3 linked regions of the Neodiprion lecontei genome follow. The protein of the gene in region 3 binds, or shares a complex with, the protein of the main gene of each other region. Links are inferred from orthologs where the notes say so. Each region holds a gene or a part of one and is shown on either strand. Other genes may lie near its edges. The genes, in order: dynein regulatory complex subunit 7-like, dynein regulatory complex protein 8-like and dynein regulatory complex subunit 3.

Region 1 (5,000 bases), on a different chromosome or scaffold from region 3:
CAAGTGTGAGAGAGCGAGAGAGAGACGACGGATCTCTCTGCCTCTGCAACGCGGGCAGCGGCAGACAGGCACCGCGGGTCACCGCCTTTCCGTCCCCCGGCCGCCCCCTCGCGCCGCCCTTGTTATTAGTCGACGGTACACACACACGCACACACACACACACACCCATGTATAGATGTGCCCACCCTAAATTCACTCGGTCGCGTTGGAACGCGCACAAATTTTGCCCCGAGGTGAGAGAAGCAGCGTCTCCTCTCGCTAGCTCTACACTCGCGCGATATTCTCTTCAACTATATTCCCTATTTGCGCCTCGAGTGTATATATAGGTAGGTATAATGTACCATACATACGTTGCCTTGGATCAAACTCGGTGTTTTTTCATGCCTTGTATGTACGCGGCGTAGGGCAGAGTGGGTCTAAACGAACCTCTCTCTCTCTCTCTCTCTCTCTCTCTCTCTCTCTCTCTCTCTCTCTCTCTCTCTCTCTCTCTCTCTCTCTCTCTCTCTCTCTCTCTCTCTCTCTCTCTCTCTCTCTCTCTCTCTCTCTCTCTCTTGGATAAAAAGTGAGGGGTTAGCTAAAGGGGAACCATTTACGGAAGAAGGTGAAATTGATAATTGATAGCGTAAACACAGTACACCGATTAGATGGTAATCTAACTCTGAACGTTTAAATCGACGCAAACGATTGGAAAACTACTGTACTTTGCCGTGATTTTGTTAAGGTGGCTGCTTAGATCCGCTCTTTCTCATCACACGTCGACGCGCATACGCGGTACCGATAAATACAACGTATGACCCGCATATAATGTTAATACATATATTATGTAGGTATGGACGTACACGTAAATGTACGTAGACACGTAGGTACAGACTTATAACGCGTATTTACGATCCCTGCAATTCATATACGACTATAGATAGATAAAGTGTGTATATGTACAATGAGGGGGAGCATGGGCGTCGAGACCGCGTGCCGTTGCGTTGATTACTTGATGGCGAGGTCGCGGGTCTTCTCGCGAGACGGACGGGAAGGTCGGCCCCCTCTACCCTCCGTCCTCACCTCGACGCAGTTTTTGCCCGATCGCCGTCCACCTCGCAATTTGGTCGCGCGACTCCGTCGTGCGCGCAAGTCGGATTTAAACCGCCTCACCGCGGCCTCGCGCGAATCTGATCAGACAAATAAGTCTATGCCATAGGTACGTAAGGTGCGTACGTACAACGCAAGTATGCGTGTGCGCGCGTGTGCGTATAGACGCAGGAGCAGCCGCCAATAAACGCCTCGGCGGCAACCTCGAATCGCTCGCGATATACTATATTCCCTCCGCGGCCGGGAAGACCCTAAGTATGTATGGGCATCCACGGTTGCGTACATGCACGCGTACGTTCGTACGATATTCCCAGGTTGACGGGGGTACCGTACGAAGAAACGAACACGCGGAGAGAACGCGAGCGATCGCGCGCGGTTTAGTTCTCTACGTTGTTCGGCTGGCTCGCGGTGAGTCACGCATCGCGAGCTTCCTGTTGCCAGCCTGCCTGCTTGCCTGCCTGCCATGCCTGCCTGCCCGCCCGCCCGCCTGCCTGCCAGCCTGCCAGCCTGTCCGCGACCACCCTTCGTCCTCCCGTCGCCTCCTGGGCCTGTCCTTTTGTCTGACGATCCGTCGGTCCGTCCGATAATCCGCCCGCCGGCTCGTCGTGCCCGCAAGACCGTCGGCTCGTCCGTCACCCGCAGGGTTAAGGGTCTCCTTTTATCTCTGCAAAAGTAAACACGAACCTTCCAAGAGCCGCAAATTCCTACGCATTGCTCCATGGGCGTACCGATACGCGCTTGCACGCACGGCATGCCTAGGAACTACCGTAGCGTACTACGTTGTGTATCACGCCGCCGTGTAACCCATTTCTCGTTTGTCACACAACTATATGCATACTTAGAGATGTCGTATTATCGAGAAGATCCGTGTGTGACTATGGATTGCGAAGAATGTCTTATCGTCCCCTCGTGCTGAGCACACATGCGTCACAATTATACAAATTTCCATCAGGTTATGCGTATCTCATAATCATCGATTGATTCGGGAATTAACCATCTTTACGTTCGACTACGCATACAGGACAGTCAATCGGCTGATGATGACGCAGGAGGTACGCCGATGCTCAAACCCATGCGGAAAATATTGAATTTCCGTTACAAAATTCAAATTCACGTTTCGCGCCAAGACTCACTGCCACTGTACATCTCTCTCTCTCTCTCTCTCTCTCTCTCTCTCTCTCTCTCTCTCTCTCACTCGCTGTCTCTTTCTCTCATTCTCGTCTACACGTTGGGGTTGGTCCGGAGCGCCGACGCACCGATTGTACACAACTGCAGCGCGCGTGTAAGGAAGTACACCGCGAGTTTACGTAGCCGAAAATAATACACCACTGCTAAGCAGGGCATCATGTGACGTATGCAATTACGATGTACCTATGTACGTACGCACGCATGCGACACGGCCGGACGCGATACAACTTGCGCGTTCCCCTCTCTACCGACTGATTGGAATCGGAGCCTAAGCACCGTACCACACATTATCAATAGATTTCATTTAATAATAGCTTTTCGGCCGTGAATATGGAGCGGATGATTTGTAGAGCAACAAATTTTTCTCTTGCATAGATTTTCATCGGTCAAGAGCGTGTCCCGGTACGGACCAAAGCTCGGCAAACATTCGCCGGGTCGCATAATTAGCGATCGAATGTATCTTGCAGCGTACAATAATGATTATTGCCTGAAATGGCCTGTTGGCCTTAACGATATGTAAGTAAACTCTTGTTTATTACTCCTTTATTGAACACATTTCGACAAAATAATTCGTTCCGGGAAGGACCCCATTCGGGCCGGAAGGTGAACATTAAAATTTTGTTTCAAAAAATTTGACCTGCATTTCCAAGATAACAACCAAGCTAATGATTATTCCTTTACATTGTTCTGAATCTACTTCGAATGTCTGATGATAGATCGTATCCATCCGTCCGCGCTGCTTTAGCAATGCTTTATACTCCGGTAAGGATCGAAGGTGTGGTGAACATGGAAAATGAGCGGGAGGATAGAGATGGAGACATTCACCGACTTCAGCATTGCGTACCGAAGCTACATGCTTGGCCCGCCGCACACCCAACTAAGCTTAAAATAGAATTGACCGTTGAATATTGCGGCCTGTACCCGACTACCTACTACCTACTACCTAATATACCTTATCCGTACATCCTATACCTTAGCGACTTAGAAGCAGTAGGAATACGCGGAACCGTTTACTGCAGCCCCGAAGGACCGCGCGGGTGGGTTTTGACCATGAAAATTTCGTGCGAATGGTATATGTATACATAGAAAGAGAAAGAGAGAGAGAGAGAGAGAGAGAGAGAGAGAGAGAGAGAGAGAGAGAGAGAAAGAGAGAGGTTGGGGGTGAAGGAAAGAGGAGGTATATGCGGCTATATGCTACGTGGGTAAGACCGTCGGGTCTCTGCGGCTTTTAGAGCCTGCAGGATACATCGCGGCGACGACGGTGCATCATGCGGGTCTCGCGAGTGAACCAAGTGTCGCAGCTGTTGCCTCTGCTTCCCGATCTCACAAAGGCTCTCGCATCTTTGCGCGAGCATATGTACAACGTGCGCGTTGTACGTTAACGCGTACGTACGTACAGCCACGGTGTTTGATTACGACCGTTTTACAGGGCTCTGCTACCATTTATTTGACCCGCGAAGCACGCGACACGGGTGGCCTTGAAGCGGTCAGAATTCAATACCGTAGGTGTACGTTCTTCGCCGAGCCTAGGTCTCCGGCTCATATACACGTATGTATATACTATATATCGGTTATATATGCAGATATACATGATATAACGTATATGGTATATAATACGTTAAGTAGTACATAATTCGTATGCAGTGGTGGAATGTCGCGTCATCGTCGCCGGATCGCCGGTAAATGTCTCGACGACGTCGCCGACGCTCGCTGCCGTAGCTGCAGCGCGGGCAGAGCCACCGAAGCACGTAATGCCGGGCACACCGAAAGGCGCGCGGAATCGCGAACCCTCGCATCCTGTCTGTCATCCAGGACGGCTGGCTGGGCTGTAGCCCCCCCCCCCTATCTTCCCCCTTACTACCGTGGTTCTCGTCCCCGTATGCACATGGTTTGTACGAAGGTATAGTTATGCAGCAGCGTATGTATGTGCGTAGGACGAGTGCGCACACACCGCACATGTTATATATTTATAAACGTGTGGGTAGATCGGCGAGATATCGAAAGCCTGCAGTCTTTGACAATCCATTAACGCAAATATTCGAATCCGCAACTACGTATCGTCATTACGTCCGTTCCGTACAATAGCGTAGCACTAGTGTAAAGAATAACATGAGAAATTGACGGATCCTCGCCACTTTACGAACACAATCGCGCAGATGCTCGTATTTAATGCCCGCACCCACACGTACCATGTTACATACTGTTGAAATGAAACGCATTTTCATGCGAGAAATTCGACAGCGATAGAATCGCGACGTGTATGCAAATTTTATTCGCAGATCTAAATACACGTAGGATCCATTAATTTAAAATCAACCGGATATCGGTGTAACTGTCCAAAGGTGTGATATGCAAACACTGTCCGGAGCGAAGTGATGGGTTATATCGATGCCAAAATTTTGTCAGTCACAATCAGTCGACGGCGAAATCAAGTTATATAGTCGATAATACGATCAGGCATACGCTTCGTTGAAGAGAAGCAATTTTCTACAATGTATCCTACAGGAACGCGTATACGCGTATAGTGTACAATGTAGACTAGAGGAGCTATACTTACTTACCTTCGTCGCGTTTATGGTTCTGAATTGGGAAAGTTGAAAAAATAGCCGTATCGTCATAGTACGTTAGTATTTTTTTTTTCCTTCGCCTAATCGAGCGAACCTATTATCGGAAACCGTTCGCTTGCCCGCGTATGCCGTTTAATTATCCCAAAAATTTCTCGAACA
Region 2 (3,610 bases), on a different chromosome or scaffold from region 3:
TCACCGTCCTTTCGTCGTAGTCATAGTATTCAATTTTTTCTTTGTTATCTTCAGGTATATTTTCTTCCGGATCCTCTTCCCCTGGAACAGTTGGTTCCAAGTTTACTGTTTTAGAAATGACATTCTTTTCATCTTGTTCAGATTCCTCCTGGATTTGGACAGATTCAATTGAATCTTTTGTATCATTCTCTTCCTTGTTGGACACCCTGTCATCCACATCTTCTTCCTTCGATTCTTCTTCATTGTTCATTTCATCATCTTTAGCCATTTCTTCCTTGACAGGATCAAGATTCTCATCATTTTGGTTTGCAGATTCAACTGGTTCAAGTTTTTCTAGTGGTTCGGAGCTATGTGAAACTTTGGTTTCTGGAGGCGTTTCCTCAACAAATTCTTCTTGTGGCTGCTGTTCCATTACGGTAGTCGAATGCTCTTCTGTTTTTTCAGGCACATTCACTTGTTGTTCTGTAGCGGTTTTCGTGAAATCAGATTGTACTTCAAATTGTGAAACAGGTTCTTCCATTTGCTGCGGACTCTCCTCCACACTTGCGAGAACGGATTCGACATGTTCTTCAGGCTGCGGCTCTATCTTCTCAGGGCTAACTGTATGTGATTCTTTCACTGGTGATCTTGTGGAGGGATCTGTAATATTTTCAGGCGTTGCAACTCGAGGAGGGACCTCAGGTTCGCGCGCATCTGGCTCGGGAGCTGGTTCCTCAGGTACAGGGGAAGGCTTCCTCTGTTCTTCCGGTGGTGGAGCTTTGGCTGGAGAAGGCGATTGTTTCGCCCTCGCAGCTGCTCTCGAAGGTGTTTTGGAAGGGCTGGTAGCTGAAGCGCTGCGAGCAGATCGCCCCCCGGGTGTTTTAGCGGTTGGTGAGGGTTTTGCAGGTTCCGGCTCTGGCGACTGCTCGTGTGGTTGTGCCTCCCTGGTATCCACACCTACCTCATCGTTCGACTCAGGGATCGTCGTTTCTTCGACTTCTAAATGAATGAAAAGTAACAAATAACACTGGAGCATACATAATTGAATTTGAGATTGTTGCGTTTCCTGATAATAAGTAAAATGGAAATCAGATGCATAAAAAATCACGGCGTCCTGAGGTAAGGAAGACAGGTTGGAAATAGGTTGGGATATCGGGGTGTTCCAATCGAGGAGTAAACAGTTTTCCGGCGCCAGTGACTAGACTGTATTAGACGCCGTGTTTGGACGCAATTTAAGCGGGAAACTACTGGGATAAGCAGTAACGCCTAGTGAGCGGTAAGCCGAATGTTTTCTTACGGTCTTCGGCTTCTTCGTCCTCCAAAGCCTTGCGGAGTCGCTCGACGAGGACAGCTTTATTTCCTTTGGTATCGAGACCGCGATGAGAGAGCTCTGCCCGCAGCTCGACCACTTTCAGCTTCGCGGGATCCATGGCGATGGATTTATTTATTTTACAAACAACCGCACAATATTTACTCGATCGAAAATGCTTTCAGGAATGAGCCATACACGCGACGGTGACCCGCGCTGCGCTCGCAATATGGCGGCGACATTGCAAACAATACGCGGAGTGATACGGCATATCCGATTGGCTCGTCGGACGCGAATTCGAAACGACGCCATTGCGACAGTCAATCAAACTTACTCTTTCATTTGACATATACCGACGAAAAGCGATCCGATTGGCCAAAGTAGGGATGTTTCGGGCGGCGGTAATTATGAACTGGCTTACAGCACACCCCGTGCAATTTTTTTTTTAGTTAATCTTCACACCCTAAATGTTCGTTCAGTTGTCGATGATGACATCCGCGGGATAAGAGCGCGAAAAAATACGTAATGAAATGAATTCTTTTCGCGATATCTTCTTTCCGTAATACACACACCATCGCGGTAACTCGCAGTAACGGTCTTAGGGGTGATTTTATTTGGTCAATATGGCGCAAGAACGAAATAGCGAGGTACGCCGCAGAAGTTCAGTAATGAAACGGGGATTGTCTTTATCAAGTTCGGAGGGTATCTTCTGTTCTTAAAGCTTAATTTTTTATCCCTTTGCATTAGCGTTCACATAATCGCATCGTCGGTCACGATTTTAGATTATGTTTTACGCTGATGCAATTCTTCTAACAGTCATTTCTGGTTATCGCACCTAAATCTAAATTTAACATTCAGAGTGGTGAATAACACAAGCTTATTTCACTAAAAGGGCCGAATCTATTGGAAAAACTGATACACAATGCATTTGACGTCTTTGACACTGCCAAAATCCAAGAAGTGGATGTCAGAGACTTGGGAACAATGATACGATCGCTAGGTAAGCACTAAAAGGGGAATACTCTTCAAACTAGAATGTAGCAAGTCTGAAACTGTCCTTCCTTGCATTTTTGACTGAAATTTATTTGCCTGGGTTACAGGATGTGTTATGACTGAGGCAGAATTGCAGGAAATTCAAGTTCAGTTGGAGGATGTGGAAAATAATTCCGTTTCACAATCCAGATTTGTAGAATATATGACTAAAACCATTAACGAACACAAGTGAGTCTGACTCTCTCCGCATACGTTGATCCAAGTATCATTGTCAGCAAGTAAGAGTCATGAATACCAAGTAGCAATTATGGAAAATTATCCTCAGATTAAAGCCAGCAGAACCTGAGGAATTATTGAAAGCATTCCAGCTATTTGATCCTGAAAACCACGGTTATATTATGAGAGATGATTTGGCAAAAGCACTGATGGAACTGGGAGAGCCTTTTACTCAAGATGAAGTAAACGAGATGATGTTTGTAGCTTGTGACCCCGCAACGAATAGAATCAACTATGAACACTTTATCAATCTGCTTATTGTGAGTATAGCTCGAGATTCAAAACATAATCCATGTAAAAGATCAGATTCAACGATTCTGTCCTTCTACCCGTTACATACAGAATTTCTGGTTTTTTCCCTGCATAGTTAAAATATCCGGATGATACCAATCCTTATAAAGTTGCCGATAAAATTGAGGCTGATCGGCTTGCGGCCATGCCTAAGAAACGAGGTTTGGGCAGCCTTATTGATGCCTCGGTACCTCATTGACACTGTCAAAATTATGAACAAAAGAAAATTAAACATAGTTTGTCCGTGAAATTCTCAAGTACATACAATATTACTATTTTTATAGTCACTGTGTAATAGCTAGACTATAATTACATTCTCAATGTACTTTTTGAGTATTGAAATCGATTTATTACCAAAAATAATTGATGTCCAATTGTAAGACTGATACTGCGATTTACGGATATGCAGTGATAAAAATATTGGCTATTAAACAGTCAAGTTCCCTAATTTATCTTTGTTTACATTGGTCATAGTTACAGAAAAACAGGTAGTCGGAACCTGATTTCGCTGACAAATAGTGGTCTCTATCCTTCACAGTTTGGAGAACACAGGCGCTTCCCCACTCTTGCTCACCTGTGCCATGACAGAGTTAGCAAGATCCTCACTTTGCAACATTACTTGATTGTACATGAGCTGAAAGCAGAAACCAAAATTACTAACAATAATTATAACTATCATTAATAACGATCATTAAGTACTCAGTTACTCAAATTCGAATCTTTGCAACTATGTTAATCCTGTAATTTTCGCTTATTTCTAGG
Region 3 (6,733 bases):
ATGTGATAAATGTGATAATCTTTTAACATTATTACAATAGATCAGTGGCATTACATGCTTAGAACATATGTATATATTATGTATGCATTATGAAGATATCATTGCAAAATCAAATACAATGTGAAAATCTTTAAGTCTCGGTATTCTGTGTGATAATATTAACTGTATTATTTTAGAATACAGATATTCTAATACAAATTTTGTTCTGCAGCTGGTGCAAGGTCCGCAACGAAGCATCAGTTAAGGAAGTCAGCACTCTCATGGCTTGAAAAAAATAGAGATTTTGATGTGAAAATATTCATTGGCTTCTTAGAGCAACCACAGGTACAAAAGGGTTTGGATATGTACATCCAGAGCTTAAAAAAGAAGTGAAACCGCTGAAGCTAACAGTAACGATACGTCATGCCATAACAGCCCCCACCTGACAGAGCTGTGATATATGGCGAATACAATAGATTTTTCTACTTTACAATGCAGATAAGAAATAAAAATATTTTGATATGAATTTATTTACCGTGAATTTTTTTGAGTATGTTATATTTGAAATAGGTACTAATAAACAGTAGGAATGGATAAAACGTTTATTGTTTATACATTTAATTCATTTTGTTCACAGTATTATGAAACAAACTGGCTTTATAAGAAATCAGTTGCTTTATGTTTTATTGCTCAAGTACTGCAGCAATATCTGGATCGTCAGTGTTCACGTATAACGGCTGCTGTAATTGTAGTGCATCAAATTCTTCCCGTTGACACTCAAGAAAATGGGAAATTTCTAGTATCTTCTGACGGTTCCGGTTACTTTCATTCCTTAAAACAGAAAAACGAAGACCACCTCGACTTTACTAATATGGTTACTACTCGAAAAATATAGGTCACAAATTCTACAGTCTACAGTCTATTTTAAAAACGAGACAGATCTCGTGTATCTTGGATATTTGTGGTTTAAATTATCTCAATAGTTATGCTGCTACTTACTCTGCCAATTTTTCAATCTTCCCTTCAAGCCAACCATTAAGTCGACTTGTTAGACGATCTTCACGCCCATCGATGATCTGAATAAGCAGAATTTAAAAGAATTTTATGAGAGCCCATGTCATTTATCATGTTGTTTTGATCATTATGCAACTGCTCGAAAAACGTAAGCGATGAAAAACGACATTTGTTGATTTTAAATAGCTTAATATTTATTCGTGCACTCAAATAAGCATATAAGCATACCTGGAGATGTAGATCATGGGATGCTGCCAAATTGTTATTCAAAATGTCCTTATCACCGATTATATCCGTTACACTAGGTGACATTTTACTATCTTCCGTAGCCTGACTTGTATTCATAACAACACTAGCTATTCCAGCAATGTTGTCGGTATATTCGGCTTCCAGATTTCTCATTAATGAGAATATATTCTGGGCTGCTTCTAAGAACGATCCAACCATATCTGTCATATGCTGTTTGAACACTTCGTTTATATCCTGCAGATATGTCATTGTTAATATATAATTATCAGTATTTGTTGCAATCAATACTTATAAAAAGCTGCAGGTCAAACGTCGCAAGTGTGTCTAATTGATTTGCTCGGTCAATATTAGTTTTATTAAGCAATAGGAGGTATTTGGAGAACTCTGATTACTTGTGCAATCCAAATCAAATGTTTATCATGTATGACTAACTTTGCCTTGTGTGAAACTATATGAATAGCTGAAAGGAATACCAGTAATTCATTCAACACCAGTGATAAATAAATGGATACACACTTCCATTTGGTCATGAAGAATCACTTCCTTGTGCATGAGCTTTGTCCAGGTTCTAGCCACCAAGTCACTGAATTCTTCGGACAGCTGACGAGCTTTGTCTAATTTTTCTTCGAGAACTTCAGTCTCCAACTCTTCAGTCATTGATTGCATAAGTGCTTTTACGTCTGCTAAGATTTCAGCCTTTCTATCCATTATTTCATCCATCATCCTTTATACAAAAAAATTTCAATTGAAAGAAATGCTAATAAATTTATTTGTCCGAAGAATATGATTAGCATTTTTTTGTGTATTTATACTTGTAATTTAATGAAAGTCTCATTTATTGTGAAATTGTTTTAATAGTATGAATAATTGACGAAATCTGTGATTTATTTTTACTAATTATTGACATTTGCGATTATACACTTTATATTCATATTATTATTATATGAATTATGTAAGGTATATCTGGTACTTACATTTGGGAATCTTTCTGAATGTCGTCTTCACCTTTAGTGACTAAATCTTCAAACATTTTTATTTCGTTGGACCTTCGGATTTGTTCAGCTAGCCCCAGTTCATACAAATCTTTGCAAAGTTCCATGAACTTTACTTTATACTCCGCATATGCAGATCGTGCATCTTCGCTGAGTGTTAAGAAGTCGTTACCTTCTGTAATGAAGTATTTCTGAATCAAAATGTGAATTTTACATATTTTCAGACATTCAATTTTCAAATATTATGGTAAAATTCACACTTAAGACGGAAATTTTATTTATTGAATATTTTTCTGCTTGAAAAGCCTGATAGGCATTGATAGATCACGATTAGATATTAAAGAATATCATAGAATACGAGCCACAAACACGATACACAGTGATAAGTCTATGGTGTTTCTGAAATCCATTCTATAATATTCTATTAGAATCTTACAAATCCTCTCAAACTTTTCCAGTAGGGCTAGATTAACGAAAAAAAAAATCGTATCCCAGACGAATAAGCGTAGTTTGATGCCAAATAGAAAGTATTGATGTCTTAAGATAAAGAGAATAATATTTAAGATATTGTTGATAAAAGCAAAAAGAATTAAAAGAGAAAATTTTCTTTCTTTCATAATTACCCTTGTCTTTTTCAAACATTTTATTGAACAAGTAGTCGTCATCGAGATATTCCACGTAAGATATGGATAATAATGCAACATTTTCCTCAAATGCTGCTTGCTTGTCCAACTTTTCTTGTTCTTTAGCTTCTTCTTCCAACAAATTACTAATGATTCGACTAAAACATTTAAGTATACAAACTGATTATCATTAATTCTGTTTAAACGCATCTAGGATAAAACTTGAACAATGCATTATTAATTTCTTCCTGCAATTCTTTTACTATAATATTTATATCCCATGATGGCCTGCAATATCTGGCGGTATTAAAAATACTCTAAATTATGAGCATGAGTGGATTTTTACAAATCAATCTAACTCTGTCGATTTACGGGAAATATGAAATTTACTAATGTTCATCAGCGGCAGCCTGGCGTTCTCGGTCCGTTATCATTTTGTACTGAAGATAGATTAATTGTGGTATAAAGGCAATCAAATAGTTCAAATATCCTTCTTTTTCCATGCACGAATTTCCAGAGACATTTAAACTCCGTAATTTTTTGAATTTCCGTAAATACATGACCTGTAAAAATTTAGCAATTATGCTGACCATGAAATTTAAGCAAATTGGAGCCCTACATATAGCTATCAATAATAATTTAATTACAGTGCGATAATTTAAGATTGGTTGATTCAATGATTGAAAAAGTATAAGAATTTCTAGGTGATAATTGACTAAGTTAAAAAAAAATAACAATAATAACAATAACACACATGATGCGAAATTAGAACTTATGTAGAAGAATAATGAATTACATGATGCCAATCGGCAATATTGTTATTTCCAATACTGAAAATTGTAAGTTCATTCAAATCGTCGATTCCCTGAATAAGACTAATTTGATTCTCATACAGCAATAAAATTTCCAAACATTTCAAATGGTTCAAATTCTCCATAGTTTCGATATGGTTGAACGACAGATCAAGCTCTTTTAAATTAATCAGGACATCCAAGTTAACAATCCTTTCAATTTTGTTGTTGCTCAGTTTTAATTTCACCAAGTTTGGCATTAACCATAGGTGGTCTATATTTAAAATATCTAAAAAAGATAAAAGTAATGAGTATAAGGAACTATTTTGTTCTGAAATAGGATTCGACACTACATTACAAAAAAAAAAAAAACAATTTAACAGCTAGCACGAAGTTTTCCGAGTCTTCATATTCGTACACTCGATGTAAGACCATCGACGTTTATTAATTTTTTTTCGACACCCTACCGCGCCCGTGTTGGATCCCACATAATATCCATAGGTTTCTTACTAAGAAATTCGATTCGAATTTCTGTCACTTCTTCCAGGTTTATCCCATCCTCTACGAACAATCTTCCAGCTTCCTTTTTTGGCCCTTGGTCAATTATTAAAGCCACGAGCATTTTTTGGTCTATCACCCCAGGTTCTGCGGATTCTTGCAATATTATCGGTTTGTCTTCAGTCTTCATAATTTATACTGCGTTCTAAAAACTCTTCGTTGTATTTTGTATGTTTAAATGAAATACAACGATGAAGAAACTGGTGTATGCAGTTGTACGAAACGTTAACTCACGTGAATAATTTTAGCATTCAAAATTCACGTATCAGCTAGTTCAAAATGTGGGATGGTCTGATGTAAAATTTAACCTTAGAATTCACATTTGCTTGGTATTCATATCAACAAAATAGTTTCCCGTTTCCATAGCGATATAGATATTTATACTTTCGTCGCAATGAGCCTGATGACATGACTCATTGAACATTACTATATCGATTCTTTGTTTTTGCCACGTTACAAAATGCACATTCAAGACTAAATCGAATTAAAAGCAATTAGATTTTAATGATAAAGCATTTTTTTTCGCATGATCGAATTCGAAAACTTTGAAAATGAGATTATAAAAATTCGTGATTGTTGAATTTCAAACTTTGCTCCGATTTGAAAATCCGATCGTAAATATGGCATCACGCCTCAGTTTTCAGGCAAAATGTATATTAAAAATAAGAAATTGTCGTAATAAATATAGACGCAATTGACGAATCCCAGTTCATTACACTCATTATCCGAACGATGTTGACTATAGGCATTACTTACGCCTCGTCTTCCGAGGCGTTTGAATATGCGTAGCAAGCATTCAATCGAGGCGGCCATTTTGATTTTTGAGCCAATAGGCGGTCATTTAGCGAAGCCAGTGCAGCTGCGTCACGGAAAATGGAGTACCATTGGTCGGGGAAAACATGATTTGACGTCTAGGCGCAGTACTCCATTACCACGGTGTCATATGATTATCTCTACGTGACACATCGGGAGAGTGAAAATTTGATAAACTGTTACTGTCCGACAACAATTTGCCGATAAATTTACCGTCAGGCTACTTACTTATGCGGCAGTAAGCCGAGAGGCAGTGTGCAAAGTTCTAACATCCAAATACGGTATAAAAGGAACAAAAAATGTCTTTTTTCGGTGTACCTGTGAATCCATTTTCGACGCCAGTTGGTCAGAGAATAGGTGAGATTCATAGTTCGTCGTATAAGCCTAGCTTTTTCCATGCCATTGTTGTTTTGACCATATATTCATTCGCCTAATTGGTTACTTACTGCATTATTACGTAAACGTTCAATACTATTGTCTTGGCGTGTCGCGATTTTTTTTAGTTGTTTTGTTTTATTGATTATTTTCTGCACCACATTGTTGTAGCACTCCTTAGCTTTCCTTTCTTTCTTTATTTTTTATATTCCCTTCTTCCTCTGGTTACCTTAGATTTACTAATGAACATTGAGGTGCACTAATTATGTAGTCAATTATCAGGAGCATAAGCGGAACGTTTAATTAGCGTAAATTATTATTGTCTATATTTTCTTACTGAGCTGCTTCAAAGGTGTGAACTGATGGAAACTTATCACAATTTTTGCAATAATATTCCTCTGAATAATGGTGCAATTATATTAGTAATTATATTTCCTTGAAAATATAATTAAATTACCTTGTATCATTGTCTGTTAATGGGCACTTGCCATAGAATCCAATTCACTTGAAACTAGATCTTGTTAACAGGTTTATATTCTATTTTTAGATGAAACTTATTCTCAGTGAATTCAAAAAATCTGCAAAAAAATCCACTCGCTGAAATTTTTTACTCGCATGTCGCAGCCTGCGTGGCAGTAGGAATATAAATGATGTCTACAAATTGAACCAATTATGCGCTGTTACTGTAACTCAACGTGTACTGGAATAATTGAGACATTGTGATATAAAATTGCAGAACAAGCTACAGATGGAAGCCTGCCAAGTGAGAATTGGGCACTTAATATGGAAATATGCGATATCATTAACGAAACTGAAGACGGACCTCGGGATGCAGTTAAAGCTATTCGACGGCGATTGAATCAAGCAGCTGGAAAGAACTATACCATCGTTATGTACACTCTCACTGTTAGTATTTGGTCCTTCTAATTTGTCTGCTATGGGCAAAAACAGAGTTTTCTTTCCCTTAACAGCACAATGTCATGAAGCTGAACCTAGTGGTTCCAGTTAGTCACTCAACATACTCAACTTTTTCCAAATGGAGTTCTGTAGTACAATTCAATACTTATGATTCTGTAAATGTATTAAACTTTCTAGAGATTTGAAGAAATTTTGAATTCTGAGCCTTCACATCATTTTGCTTTGATGATCTTTTTCAACTAACATTAGTATGCATAGCAGCTAATTTTGACCACTGGCTTGAACATAATTACCAACATGCACGTAATTATTATTCACCCCTATAGGTTTTAAGCATTATATTTTATTCTATGTGGTAGAAGATGAAATATTTTTGAACAGCAATAGCAACAACAGTTTCTTCCAATTGTCGTTATATCGC

What was found.
Region 1: dynein regulatory complex subunit 3 (region 3) and dynein regulatory complex subunit 7-like share a complex: the UniProt entries of both Homo sapiens proteins name them as parts of the nexin-dynein regulatory complex. The link is inferred for Neodiprion lecontei from reciprocal best matches to the Homo sapiens genes DRC3 and DRC7.
Region 2: dynein regulatory complex subunit 3 (region 3) and dynein regulatory complex protein 8-like share a complex: the UniProt entries of both Homo sapiens proteins name them as parts of the nexin-dynein regulatory complex. The link is inferred for Neodiprion lecontei from reciprocal best matches to the Homo sapiens genes DRC3 and DRC8.

The regions. Positions count from the first base shown.
Region 1 is NC_060266.1:422,728-427,727, reverse strand, and holds the start of dynein regulatory complex subunit 7-like, read right to left. Parts: upstream 3,118-5,000; 5' UTR 3,112-3,117; coding exon 3,100-3,111; intron 87-3,099; exon of another isoform or gene 1-86. UniProt on the Homo sapiens protein: Component of the nexin-dynein regulatory complex (N-DRC) a key regulator of ciliary/flagellar motility which maintains the alignment and integrity of the distal axoneme and regulates microtubule sliding in motile axonemes.
Region 2 is NC_060266.1:25,923,674-25,927,283, forward strand, and holds dynein regulatory complex protein 8-like, read left to right. Parts: upstream 1-1,874; 5' UTR 1,875-1,911; coding exon 1,912-1,990; intron 1,991-2,180; coding exon 2,181-2,288; intron 2,289-2,388; coding exon 2,389-2,509; intron 2,510-2,606; coding exon 2,607-2,817; intron 2,818-2,924; coding exon 2,925-3,047; downstream 3,048-3,610. Other genes in the region: heterogeneous nuclear ribonucleoprotein U-like protein 1, read right to left, coding at 1-978, 1,277-1,409; delta(3,5)-Delta(2,4)-dienoyl-CoA isomerase, mitochondrial, read right to left, coding at 3,381-3,482. UniProt on the Homo sapiens protein: Component of the nexin-dynein regulatory complex (N-DRC), a key regulator of ciliary/flagellar motility which maintains the alignment and integrity of the distal axoneme and regulates microtubule sliding in motile axonemes.
Region 3 is NC_060263.1:21,534,834-21,541,566, reverse strand, and holds dynein regulatory complex subunit 3, read right to left. Parts: upstream 5,063-6,733; 5' UTR 4,963-5,062; intron 4,944-4,962; exon of another isoform or gene 4,441-4,943; intron 4,352-4,440; 5' UTR 4,337-4,351; coding exon 4,159-4,336; intron 3,938-4,158; coding exon 3,654-3,937; intron 3,421-3,653; coding exon 3,248-3,420; intron 3,016-3,247; coding exon 2,858-3,015; intron 2,410-2,857; coding exon 2,217-2,409; intron 1,967-2,216; coding exon 1,759-1,966; intron 1,477-1,758; coding exon 1,222-1,476; intron 1,056-1,221; coding exon 979-1,055; intron 811-978; coding exon 663-810; 3' UTR 590-662; downstream 1-589. Other genes in the region: enoyl-CoA delta isomerase 1, mitochondrial, read left to right, coding at 212-372; TOM1-like protein 2, read left to right, coding at 5,319-5,376, 6,131-6,300. UniProt on the Homo sapiens protein: Component of the nexin-dynein regulatory complex (N-DRC) a key regulator of ciliary/flagellar motility which maintains the alignment and integrity of the distal axoneme and regulates microtubule sliding in motile axonemes.